Linked DNA regions of Mus musculus: all the other regions are reported to be linked to region 3. Evidence: microRNA targets listed by miRTarBase, many of them from high-throughput screens and not tested one by one. Region 3 holds a microRNA gene; each other region holds the end of a gene's coding sequence.
What was found. Region 3 holds the annotated microRNA mmu-miR-331-3p (GCCCCUGGGCCUAUCCUAGAA, at 1,304-1,324, opposite strand). A microRNA usually pairs through its seed, bases 2 to 8, with sites in the 3' UTR of a target mRNA and lowers its output. Matches are read on the target gene's strand: a 7mer-m8 pairs with bases 2 to 8, a 7mer-A1 pairs with bases 2 to 7 and ends in A, and an 8mer does both.

Region 1 (4,058 bases), not on the chromosome of region 3:
ATTAAATCACCTTCATTTAGTGCCCAGTGTAGCTTTTTGAGATCAGATGAAGTCCATAATCCTTTTCTTAAAATTGGTTGATGAGATATACATGGAGGAAAATATGGAATTTTGAATAACCAAAATTGTCACCCAACACTAAATAATCCTGGAAATCCAGTATATTTCAGCCAATAAACCTGTCAGAAATTAGTTTGGATATGACATTCTTTGATTAGGCAGTGTGTGAGATGGCTTTAGTGGCATGTTCTTTCATGGTTCATACTTAATTTCCTTGAGCAAAGATGTATCATGAATTCAGTTCTATGATGAAGGTTATAGACTATAAATTTTATACAGGATGCTATGCACTTCTGAGTTCCACTTATATTTGCTAAGTTTAATGTTAAAATATTCTATTTCCAACTTGTGTCTTCTAGTCACAATTTATTCAATTTTCAAAGACCCTGTATAATTTATTTCATGAGGACCCTGAAGAAGAGTCGCTATATCAAGCCATTGCTATTGTAACCAACCTTCTGCTCAGGATGGAAGAAGTTGGAAGGAAACTCCATAGCCCGGCATCATCAGCCAGTACAGCTCGTGATTCTGGACCCAGTGAAGGGAATGCAGAGAGCAGTGTGAAGAAAGATCTTCCCTCTCCCAGGGAAGAACATCAGTGGTCGTTTGCATTTGAGCAGATTCTTGCTTCCCTGTTAAATGAACCAGCCTTGGTGAGGTTTTTTGAGAGACCCTTAGATTTAAAAGCCAAGCTAGAAAATGCGAAAAGCTCCCAGCTAAGGTCTAGAACCAAGATGTAAATCTCTGCCATCATCAGCTTTGCCAAGATTCCTGCACTATCAGCCTGATTCCTGGGAATACTTCTCAGGGATATGTTGCATTACTGATGTGCTCCAAGGCAGAAGAAAAAGATACTCAGAAGCACAATGGTTCATTCCTTTGTATTAAATGCACTTTTAAAAAATTCTCCCCCTGTCACAAGATAAGCAGCATCAGGGTCACATGCTCAGTGGGACCACCAGAGGGCGCCACCATATCACTTTAGTGAGTCAGTCACAAGTTTGTCCTGCTGTTTCCATGAGATTGCTGGTCTTTTGAAAGGTGGTAGGATATTTATTATAATGCTGTTATGGCAAATTGGTAAGCCTTGTTTTTCAAATGACCCCAGTCTTATAAAAACTTTACAAAACTGGGCTTTAGAACTGTAGCCTTAATTATCTAGGAAGTTGCCTTTTAGGGCCCTGATTTCCAAGTTATATAACTAAAAGATTTACTTCTAAAACGTAATTTTATTCAGTACAGTAATACATGGTTTTACAGTAATACATGCAACTTCTGCATTCTCTGCTCTCGAGGGATTGAGCACTCGGTGTTTAACGCTACTAACTCTGTTGCTGATAAACACAAATCAAGAAGTCTAAATTCTGGGCTGATATAAAGAAAAACAACACCAGATTTAGACTTAAATCAAATAAAGCCAGCATTTTGAAAAGAAAGGTTAGAAGACAGTTTAGTTAACTATATAGCTCTTTCAGTTAGACTGAGACACAAATAAAAATTCTCTAGAGTGGCATTGTTTATTGCTTTGGTTTCAGAATAGCTTCTGATTGCTTGTGTCCCAGCTTTGTAGTTTGAATTTTTACCCATTGTATTTTAATTTATAGTAGGTAGTGTGGAAGAGTTTCACTAAGACTGAATTGCTGTATTAGTCTGGCAAGCATGTAAAGTATACTTCATGTAATACTTACTAGGGTACTATATAGAATTGCCAGCATCTACCTAAAAAGGTTAGACTTAGATGTGCAATTTTTACATACTTTATGCTTTTTCTATGGCAGTCCATTTAAATATATATGGACGCTGATAGCACTTTCAAAAGAACAAAACAACAAACAAACAAAAACAAGCAATCCATGCAGACCTGACCTGTCTTCTGCCGCTTTTGAAGAGGGACTTATTTAGCAGTTGACTTGGGAAATGGGGCAGGAACCAGTGTGTGGAGCTTCTGTCTTCACACTAGACTTGGATTTCGAGCCTCTGACTTGGCTAGAAGGGAAACAATGAAAGGATAGACTTCCTTCATGGTGACCAAACAAGTCTCCCTTTCTGGGAAAGAATTGGCATGGTCAGTCTTTGACAAGAACGTACTGTGACTAAAACCTAACTGTGTTACCATACCACATACTATTTTCAGTGAAGCTAAGCACTTCTCAAATTGTGTCTTTGAAAATTCCTATGTATCAGGAGATGGCCTAATCGGCCATCAGTAGAAAGAGAGGCCCATTGGTCGTGCAAACTTTATATGCCCCAGTACAGGGGAACACCAGGGCCAAAAAGTGGGAGTGGCGGGGGGAGGGTATGGGGGACTTTTGGGATAGCATTGTAAATGTAAATGAAGAAAATACCTAATTAAAATTAAAAAAAAATAAATTTAAAAAATCCCTTAATGTAATCCACTATATAAACAAACTCAAAGGAAAAAAAAAAAGAAAGAAAATTCCTAAGTTGAATTTGGTCAAATGCTGGTAGCATCTTTAAGATTTGATTATGCTGTCTTTTCAAGGACATGACTACTTAAAAGAGATAGTTGAAAACTAAGCCTTTCTGCCTCAACTCAGAGATGATTAGCTAAAATATGTCCCAATTTTCAATCCTAGTTGATAGTTTATGTGAGAACCATCACACATCTACCATTATGCAATGATTGTTAAATTATACGATGATAGCTCTAGAAAAACATATGGTCCGCGCTTGTATACAAAGATACTGTTATACACACTTTGTTGAATATTTTGTCAGTTGTATTTACAACAGATACTTTCTTAAGAGAATATGTTGTTAGTTTTTGATATTATTTTAAAGTCAAAATGGTAAAGATTACTGAATATTGTATTTTAGTCTTGATCAATAAAAAATAAATAAAGAGATTTTTTGAATTTCAAGAAGATTATAAATGAAAGCAAGACAACAATGTATTTTCCGAGTCTGCAGGAGAAGGAAGCAAAACATGTTCTAGTTTTATAGCTGCTGCTTTGTTAAGCAAATGAGTTGTTCACAATATTCAAAATATTTTGTTGTGTCAAACTGGACCAGTGCATTATGCCTTTTACCTTAAATGTTATAACATGACTTTGTCTTTATAAAACTAAGTATTAAAAATCTATTATATTAAATATGAAAGGTTTACTAAAAGGCCAAATGTTTTATTATGCACTTTACTGACACATAACTGAAATATCACTTGAGCCTATGCATCCTTGCTACATCAGTTTCGACTCTAGCTGCAAGAAAACCAGAATTCATTCTCAATTGGTTTAGGCAGGAAACTGTTTATCCCTGGATAGTAAGTGGCTTGTATCATTATTAGAAGGAGCAGCTTAGTTGAACTTTCAAACACAACATCCAAGACCACCTCCCTCCCAGGCTAGCAGGACAGTTGCTAATTCTTGTATGATAGGAAACTGCCAGAGTGAAAACACTCGCTACCTCCAGAGACATGATTCACTTGCAAATGGATGCCAAGTTCCTTGCCCCTCAGCACCCAGGCACTCATGACTAAATTGCAGCGGAATAGCCAGAAATCTTCACAGTCATCTTCAGCAGCAGATGTCAGAAGTGCAGTGTTCACCCTGCCAGCCAAGAATCATCATAGTCCAGAATCAGAGTGCTAAAGAAAGGTGGGAATTGTGCTTTTCCCTTCTGAAGTCCAGCAACCCCCCCCCCCCCAGACCAGAATGGATACTGAGAACTACGTGAGCATTTCCCCCTTCTCGTGCTGCATAAGAAATCAGTACAATGCACATTTATCATCTAACTATTTAAGTGTGTCATCACTAGGGACTCAGCCTAGCTAGGTCCTCTGGGTAGGATTATGAGGCTGTGAGCAAGGGATAATCTAGACTTGGTTCTCAGGTAAAGACTTGGTTCCGCTGGGGAAGAAATCTACTTCCAAGTCTCTATGTCCTTTCTATGTAGCTCTGAAACCACAGCCTGTTATAGGTGGCCACCCTCAGTCGCTAAATGCCTCACACAATTCCACAGGTGTCTTTAGCATCTAT
Region 2 (4,058 bases), not on the chromosome of region 3:
CTTGATGGGCCAGACTGTGTTCCAATCCAGTTAAGGAAGGTAAGATATGGAGTCCAGTATCCATTGCAGTTATCAAGATATATAGTTCAGGGAGGTTTCATTGGCTGAGAAAAAAAGGGGGTCAGGGGATGCCTTTTCAAAGATCATCCCTGGACAGGGTGTGAATGATTATTTTACCAAATGAGGGTTCTCTGGTGGTTTCAAGAAGTCCCTAATCTGCTGGAACATTTAGCCATGGGATGTGGGTCATCTTAGTCCATTCATTTATTCACAACCCATGATTCCTCAGGAATTCTCCAAATGCAAACCCTGGATTTCACTTTTATGTGTCTAGAGTTACTGGAAGGTATTCCAGGTAAACACTTATATGACACAGATATTGAAGGTAATTAGCTTGCAAAGATCTTTGTATCCGGGAAACTACAACTATACTGATCCTGGAAATTTTCACCATATTCTGCTTTTGATAAAGATATAAAAAGTATGATTGTTCTCAATGAAATTGACACACCTGTGACATTGGGCTGTGGTCCCTCCAACCTGGCCTGACTTAATTCCTTGCAACCATATCAGGTGACCTGGACCTGGAAAATAAGCACAGGCACTTACATGACTGTCTCCTAGAAGCTGTCTGCAGTTAGCTGTTAGCTGATGGTTGTTCAGCAGAGTCATAAAAAGAAAAAAAATTGTAGAGTGACTAGAGGATATTCTATTGATCTGTTCAGCTGACAACAGTTCTATTGATCTATTGTCTTTGGCAAACACTGAGTCATGTGTGTTTCTAAGTATGAAGGAGTTTCATCCTTAATTCTACACAATTCCACATGTTGGAAGATTTAGTATTCCATACCTAGAACCTATTCCTTCTTTTGCTCCAGAAGCAGAACAATTTTTCCTTCCCCTTGTTTCAAAGCTTCCTGTCTTAGTTAGGGTTTTACTGGTGTGAACAAACACCATGTCCAATGCAAGTCTTACAAGGACAACATTTAATTGGGGCTGGCTTACAGGTTCAGAGGTTCAGTCCATTATCATCAAGATGAGAGCTTGGCAGCATCCAGGCAGGCATGGTGCAGGAGGAGTTGAGAGTTATACATCTTCATCTGAAGGTTGCTAGCAGAATACTGGCTTCTAGGCATCTAGGATGAGGGTCTTAAAAATACCTACTCCAAGGAGGCCACACCTAATTCAAGAAGGCCACACCTTCTAATAGTGCCACTCCCTGGGCTGTGCATATACAAACCATAACAGGTCTCTTTGCCATGAAGAGTAAGAGTTGCTTCTCTTCCCCTAGAGTGTAAGAGTAACTTTTATTCACAAGAGGTAATAGTCATCTTGGAGACTTACTGCCTCTGTCTACTAACCTAGGTCTAGTCCTGGAAGCTTCTAGCTTCCAAACTCAAAATTCCTCTCCAGCCTGATTCAATATGGCTTCCCTTAGCTTCTTAATTTCTCTGATGGCTTCAAACTAACTTTGGCAATGTGTTCTAACCTTCTAGCTCTTTCTCATCCTCTGGCTCATTCTTTCTTCAATTGTGCCTAGCTTTTTCTTGTAAACAACACAATCTGGAGGTTCACTGTGTAATTAAATATCCTGCAACACTAGAGAAATTTTATCATATATGAGGACCTCAAGGGAGACCTTCATGCCTTTCCCTCAGCGGCTCATCTTTCCCAGGCATGTGCCCAGACTTTCTCATGCCCACCCAGGAAAGTACCTGAAAATGAGCATAAGCTCTCCTTATGGTGGAGGTTCTCAGAAGATCTCCATTCTCATGCCACTAAACTCAATCTTGGTTAATTTGCTAACATTTTAACTTAATTATAATTTGTGAGTTGTCTAGTATGCACTACCTGCCCCAGGTAGAAATATTTCCTTCTCCTCACTCTCTGAAGATGTTTGTCTTTCCTTAGGTTTTTCTCATGTGCTTGTACTACAACCTCAGCTCTCTGGGTGGAATCTAAAAAAAAATGTGATTTTTGCAATTACCTAACATTATTTATTGGAAGAACAGTCTATTCTGGGAAAAAGCACAGCAATTAATCATTCAATAGCAAATGGTCATCCCTGAAAATATACATACAAGCAACATTGTACAGATTGAGCAGGTTGTATTTATATATATATGTAGATATGCATATATGCTTATAGCAACAATTCATGAAAAAGAAGGCCATGTATTTGAAAGAAAGCAAGGAATGGTACATGGGAGGATTTAGGGGGAAGAAAGGAAAGAGGGAAATAGTATCATTGTATTATGATATCAAAAATGGAATAAGTAATAAAAATAGAACAGTCACAAACTTTTTTCTAACTTTCTGAATCATGAGTAAAATCATATTTATTTATTTATCAACAATCTTTCTTTTTAAAAACATAATTCTTTTATTGAGTGCTAGGGAATTTCACATCACATACCCCAATATCACTGATTTCTTAGTACTATCATACCCACCCTCCTCCACCTGTAACCTCCTCCCCAAAAGGAAATTTAAAATTTTTAAATTAAAAAATTATATATCACCAATCTTCTCTATCACCCACAGGCGTCTCTCCGACAAGGCCCTGCTGTCACATCTGCAATCCCGCCATACTTATACCCTCAGTGTCTATGTAGAGAAGAATGATATCTCAAACCTTAGACAAAGCAACAATTTTATTAGATATTTTCTTCATTTACATTTCAAATGCTATCCCGAAAGTCCCCTATAACACCCCCCACACACACTCCCCAACCCACCCACATCCACTCCTGCTGCCTGGCCCTGGCATTCCCCTGTACTGGGGCATATGATCTTTGCAAGACCAAGGGCCTCTCCTCCCATTGATGACCGGCCAGGCCATCTTCTGCTACATATGCAACTGGAGACACAGTTCTGGGGGGTACTGGTTAGTTCATGTTGTTGTTCCTCCTATAGCGTTGCAGACCACTTGCTGCTTGGGTACTTTCTCTAGCTCCTTTATTAGGGGCCCTGTGTTCCATCCAATAGATGACTGTGAGCATCTGCTTCTGTACTTGTCAGTCACTGGCAGAGCCTCACAAGAGAGAGCTATATCAGGATCCTGTCAGCAAAATCTTGCTGGCATATGCAATAGTGTCTGGGTTTGGTGGTTGTATATAGGATGGATCCCCAGGTTGGGCAGTCTTAATAACTTAATTAATAATAAGTTTACATATATTTTTCAGATGTTTTTTGAGTATTTGTCCTTTTCTAAGTAATACAATATGATGATGAGGTTGTAAAATGCTATCCTCAGGTAGTTCAGTCTAGTTCAAGGAGCAGCATCAGGATTCTTCAGGAAAAGGTTTTTCAAATGAGGTGACTTCACTCCACACTTTTCATGTCAGTTTTTGGCTTTGCAGCCTTAATAACCTGGGTAGGAAAGGAAGATGAAGACTGAAATATTGTTGATTAATTAATTCTCCTCTACTTTCACTTACTGTGTTCTCCTGAAAATTCCTTTCTTCTCATCAAATCTCCTCACCTAACACATATTTCCTCTTAATTCTGTCACTCTTGGACAACTCTCCTGAACTATATCTGCCCTGAACACACACACACTCCTACACAAGAAGGACAAATATGAAGACTTCTCAGGTCCCCATCTAATAACTCTATATATACAGTTGAGTGGTGAGGAAGAGAGGAAAGCAGAATCAGTGGGATCATCAGCACGGGGATGTGATAGCTGACTTAACTGCTTTGGACTATGACAGATGTGAAGATGATTGCCCTGGCTCAGATGTTTGTTGTCAGGGTGTTATAGTCTGACTTGACTTTTAACTGCATTTGCCAGAATGATGTGTGCAACTTTGAGAAAGCTGCCTTCATTAGATTTAGACTGTATTCAATAAATTCATTGTGGAAAGTTCTTTGAGAGGAGGAGGAGGAGGAGAAGGAAGAAGAAGAAGAAGAAGAAGAAGAAGAAGAAGAAGAAGAAGAAGAAGAAGAAGAAGAAGAAGAAGAAGAAGAAGAAGAAGAAGAAGAAGAAGAAGAAGAAGAAGAAAAGAAGGAGAGTGAGATTTTGTGTGTGCATGTGTGTATGTGTTTGTGTGTGT
Region 3 (4,068 bases):
GCTATACAGCAAGTTCAAAGCCAACCTAGGGTATGAGGTCCTGACTCAAAAAAACAAACCTAATTAAACAGTCCATAATTTCTATTTTTGGTCTCTATTTATGATGTAAATGAGTATAATGCCCCCAAAATACTCACAAAACATATTACACATCAACCTGGTGTGTGCACATGGATTCTAGGCAATGCTGATCTCTTAGGTAAGTGTGTTCATGAGGCACACACTCCAAGGAAGAAAACACTGAGAAGCACAAAACTCAATCTGTGGCATAAAAAAAATTCCCATAAACTTGGGGTAGAAATGGGATGAATATGGTGTAGAATAGTTGAGTTTTTCGGGTGAGCCTCAATAGGCGCCAGGCCCATTTGGAACTGTGACTGGGTGACGTAAATTTTGGTAGTGTGATAAAGATTGGTAGGAATGCATGATTTTGAGTTCCTTATGTATGGAGAGTTTATTAGTCTGCACAAAACATCAAAAGCATAAATTGTCAATGCTTACCATAATTTTTCAGTTTGGGTCTTCATGCATTTTCAGAATTCTTGTCTTCCAAATCAAAACAAATAAACACACAGTTGACTCTAGTAATGCCAGCTAGATTATGAGGTCATAACATATATTTATTAGATCAGGAAGAAAACTGAAGTTCTTAAAATTTTCTTCTGCACAATACTGCTGCAAAATCCACGGGCTTAACCATCTACTACCTCACCATACTCATGGTCCTGAGCCACAGAAACCTTAAAAGGAGCTCTGCTGCGCAGCAGACCCAGTGACAGGGAAAACATACTAATTTCTGAAACAAGAACTTAGAGCCACTCAGCATTAGAGTGGGAAGACGAAGACAGATGCTTGCCGTTCCGAAAGTGCCAATAAAGCATACAGCTGACAGAGACTGGTTAGACATCACTGGAAGTAGTTAAGAAAAGACAATTTGTCCAGTTTGGAAGAAGGCTGTTTTGAGAACGGTTTTGTGGCTACATTGCTGCTTTTTAAAATAGACATTTAAATCAGTTTTATCTGACGATAAAAATCACAAGACCAGTTCTCCTCACTGGGAATTAATAACAACCACATAGAATTTCTACCATAGGAAACTACTGGGGTATCAGCCTCGGGAGACTTTGTTATTACCAAATATTGTTATTTTGACTCCAGACAGATTAACCAGCCAGGGCTTGCTAAACAATAGGTACATATATAAGAACTGAATCTTGGTGAGTACAGGATGTGTAGTCAGCCTCAGTTATCTTCGGTCTTCATCCTCTGGGTGTTCCAGGAATGATGCACGGGTTTAGGTTGGTTCTAGGATAGGCCCAGGGGCCTGGTTTGATCTGGGATCCCTGGGACCATACCTAGAACAAACCCAAACAAAACCAGACTCCTTGGGAGTGCTTTCAGCTTGCATGGGCTTCTGGGCTTCTCACCCATGTGGGCCTCCAGGGCTGGATCAGGGCCACACACCAACCTTTAAGGGATAGGAGTGACATTCTTGGAGCCTTCTATATATTGTCACACACCAGTACTGTGCCTCAGCACTTTTAAGTCACAGACTTGAACAGAAGGTACAGAAAAATGCAGAACATACTTGGACTCAGAATCAGAGTCAATTTAGTCATTTAACTTGGAAGGAAAAGCGGGCTAAGAAGTTGTTTAGGTCATTGTAAAAGAGCAAACTTACAAAGGACATACTTTAGTTTTAGAAGAGATTTGCAACAATAAACTTATTTGTATGTAGTCAGTCTTTAGGACATGTTATAAAACTGTTATAAATCCTAAAATAATACTATCTATTTTAAGAAACTCTTAAGAAATAAGTGAGAAAAAATATCTATTTAGCATTATCTACAGGTAGTCCAATTTTTCAGCTTGTATAATCAGAAGTATACACACCCTAAGCATCATTTCCACTTGAGCAACATATGTGCTAAGTGAATCTCAGTACACAGGGATAAAACTAATGTCACTGCTGACACACTAAAGTGGATTCTAATGGACTGCATTTTAAAGACACCATGGGCATTAGAATCTATCACACAATCATCACTATATATATAAACCTTGGCCAGTCAGGAACTCACTATGTGGACCAGGCTGGCCTTGAAATCAGAGATATGCCTGCCTGTTTCCAGAGTGCAGGGATTAAAGGTATGTGCCACTACACCTAGATTTGATCACACATTTAAAGATAGGTATGAAATTAATTCCTCCTAATTCCTGCTGAATCTTGCCTATGTAAACCCCGGTATGAACTCCTTCTTTTTGGTTTACAGCAATTGCACTGGGTAGAATTGTGCTTCTCTAACAGCTTACTCAGAGAGAAGCACCAATCATGTCTGCCATCACTGTCTCTTCTACAATGGTGTCAATACAAGGAACTGGTTTGGACCATTCTTCTTACAATTATTATATCATAATTCCCTTCCATAACATGGGTAACTGGAGAGCAGCCACATGAAGCATGATTATGAAAGTCTGATACAGCATCCACGCTGAATGTAATGAGAGTGAGTTCCATGAAGCATGAGAATAAAATAGACTGACACACTACTCACTCTGTATATGATGACAGCGAGTCCCATGGTTAGCAAAGCACAGCACATAAACGGTACAACTAAGCAGATGTTAGGAGAGCCACTTCTAGACAGTCTAGTATTATTGGAAAATGTAATCTTGCTTATTTTATACACTGAAGGCTAATTTAGGCATGCCAACTACTGAATGACAGTGGATCTTCTGCCACTGAGTTAACACTGATGAATCATGGGAAACTTTTAATGTATACTTCACTTCCTTTAGCTGAATTAAAGAAAGCAAAGATGCTGTCAGCGTGGATGGTCTTTCATAATCATGTTATTCTTTGTGGCCTAGGTTCTACAATTGTAGTACTTCTCAGATATCTTCAATAATTGTTTTCTTATTTTCCATGGCTTAATCTACTTTGTCTTGGAAATGAAGACGCATTTATCTTAAATAAGAGAGCCAAAGAAATTCAGGACAGCATGTGGTTTCCAATTCAAATGGAAAGTATATATGACAGTAATCACTGCAAAAGAGTTACAGGTATAGAACCAACTTTAGAGAAGGCAAGATGTTGGGGAAAATTATCTTGTATAACAATACTTTCATATTGAAAGTAGGCATTTAACCCAGCAATTTCACTGGGTCAAAGACTGTAATCCAGCACGTCATAAGAAATCCTTCAGAAGAGTCAGTGAGCGTCAGCAGTATGCCTGTCACTCTGCATCTGCCTGCTCTTACCTTACACAGCTTAACTAGCAGAGTCATCTAGTCTTCACAGCAGGTCGGAAGGCATGCGTGAGAGCGGACAAGGGCCGCTAATTCACGCACACTTAATCTGCAGTAACAGGAACGGAGGAATCCCTACCAAAACTGAACGCATGATGACTGAAGCCCAGTCAAGTCAAATGGAACTTAATAAAGGGACAGTTCTTGGCGTTTAGTGTACCAGAGGATAACAACCCGTGTTAATAATGACCATTTTGAGCTGGCTGTAGTAGTCCATGTCTTTCATCCTAGCACTTGGCAGGCAGAGACAGGCAAATCTCAGGGTCAGCCTTGTCTACATAATGAGTTCCAGGGTAGGCAATATAGAGCAGCCCTGTCTCAAAAAACCAATGGCTATGATGATTATGATGATGAATTTGTGTCTTTGTGTACATGTATACAAGAGGGTATGCACACACATATTCATGTGTATGTACATGTGTGTATATGGGCTAAGTCAGAGGTTGAGTTGATGTTTAGGGTTTCCCTAGACCACTCTCACTGATGAGGCCAGAGTGGCTGGCCAGAGACTTTCTGGGGATTTTTCTGACTCTAACCCCAGGCATGGGGTTATAGATGTATGCCATATATATGCCCAGCTCTTTTATATGGGCACTGGGATCTGAGTGAAGGTTCTCATTCTCGTACTTGTTTAGAGGACACTTTACCCAGTGAGTCATCTCCCCAGCTCCTTGATAACCGTTGTAATATAGCAAAGATTATGGTGTATTTCATACATTGCTAGAGAACTGGGCTGTCCAAATCATTTATTCCCCTGTC

Region 1: miRTarBase lists Tbc1d8b as a target of mmu-miR-331-3p. Seed matches in the 3' UTR shown: 7mer-A1 at 2,314-2,320.
Region 2: the mRNA of Aim2 is a reported target of mmu-miR-331-3p. Seed matches in the 3' UTR shown: 7mer-A1 at 2,771-2,777.

Annotation. Positions count from the first base shown.
Region 1 is chrX:139,751,042-139,755,099 of GRCm38, forward strand. Tbc1d8b (TBC1 domain family, member 8B) reads left to right here. Exons shown (of 21, transcript NM_001081499.2): 21 at 420-3,177. The coding sequence ends at 800. Among named protein-coding and RNA genes, the nearest start is that of Ripply1, 29 kb to the right of the region's middle.
Region 2 is chr1:173,464,285-173,468,342 of GRCm38, reverse strand. Aim2 (absent in melanoma 2) reads right to left here. Exons shown (of 9, transcript NM_001013779.2): 9 at 2,303-3,372. The coding sequence ends at 3,325. Among named protein-coding and RNA genes, the nearest start is that of Ifi206, 25 kb to the left of the region's middle.
Region 3 is chr10:93,962,480-93,966,547 of GRCm38, forward strand. Mir331 (microRNA 331) reads right to left here and starts at 1,384; the gene lies at 1,289-1,384. It overlaps Vezt (vezatin, adherens junctions transmembrane protein), which reads right to left. Exons shown (of 12, transcript NM_172538.5): 12 at 1-4,068.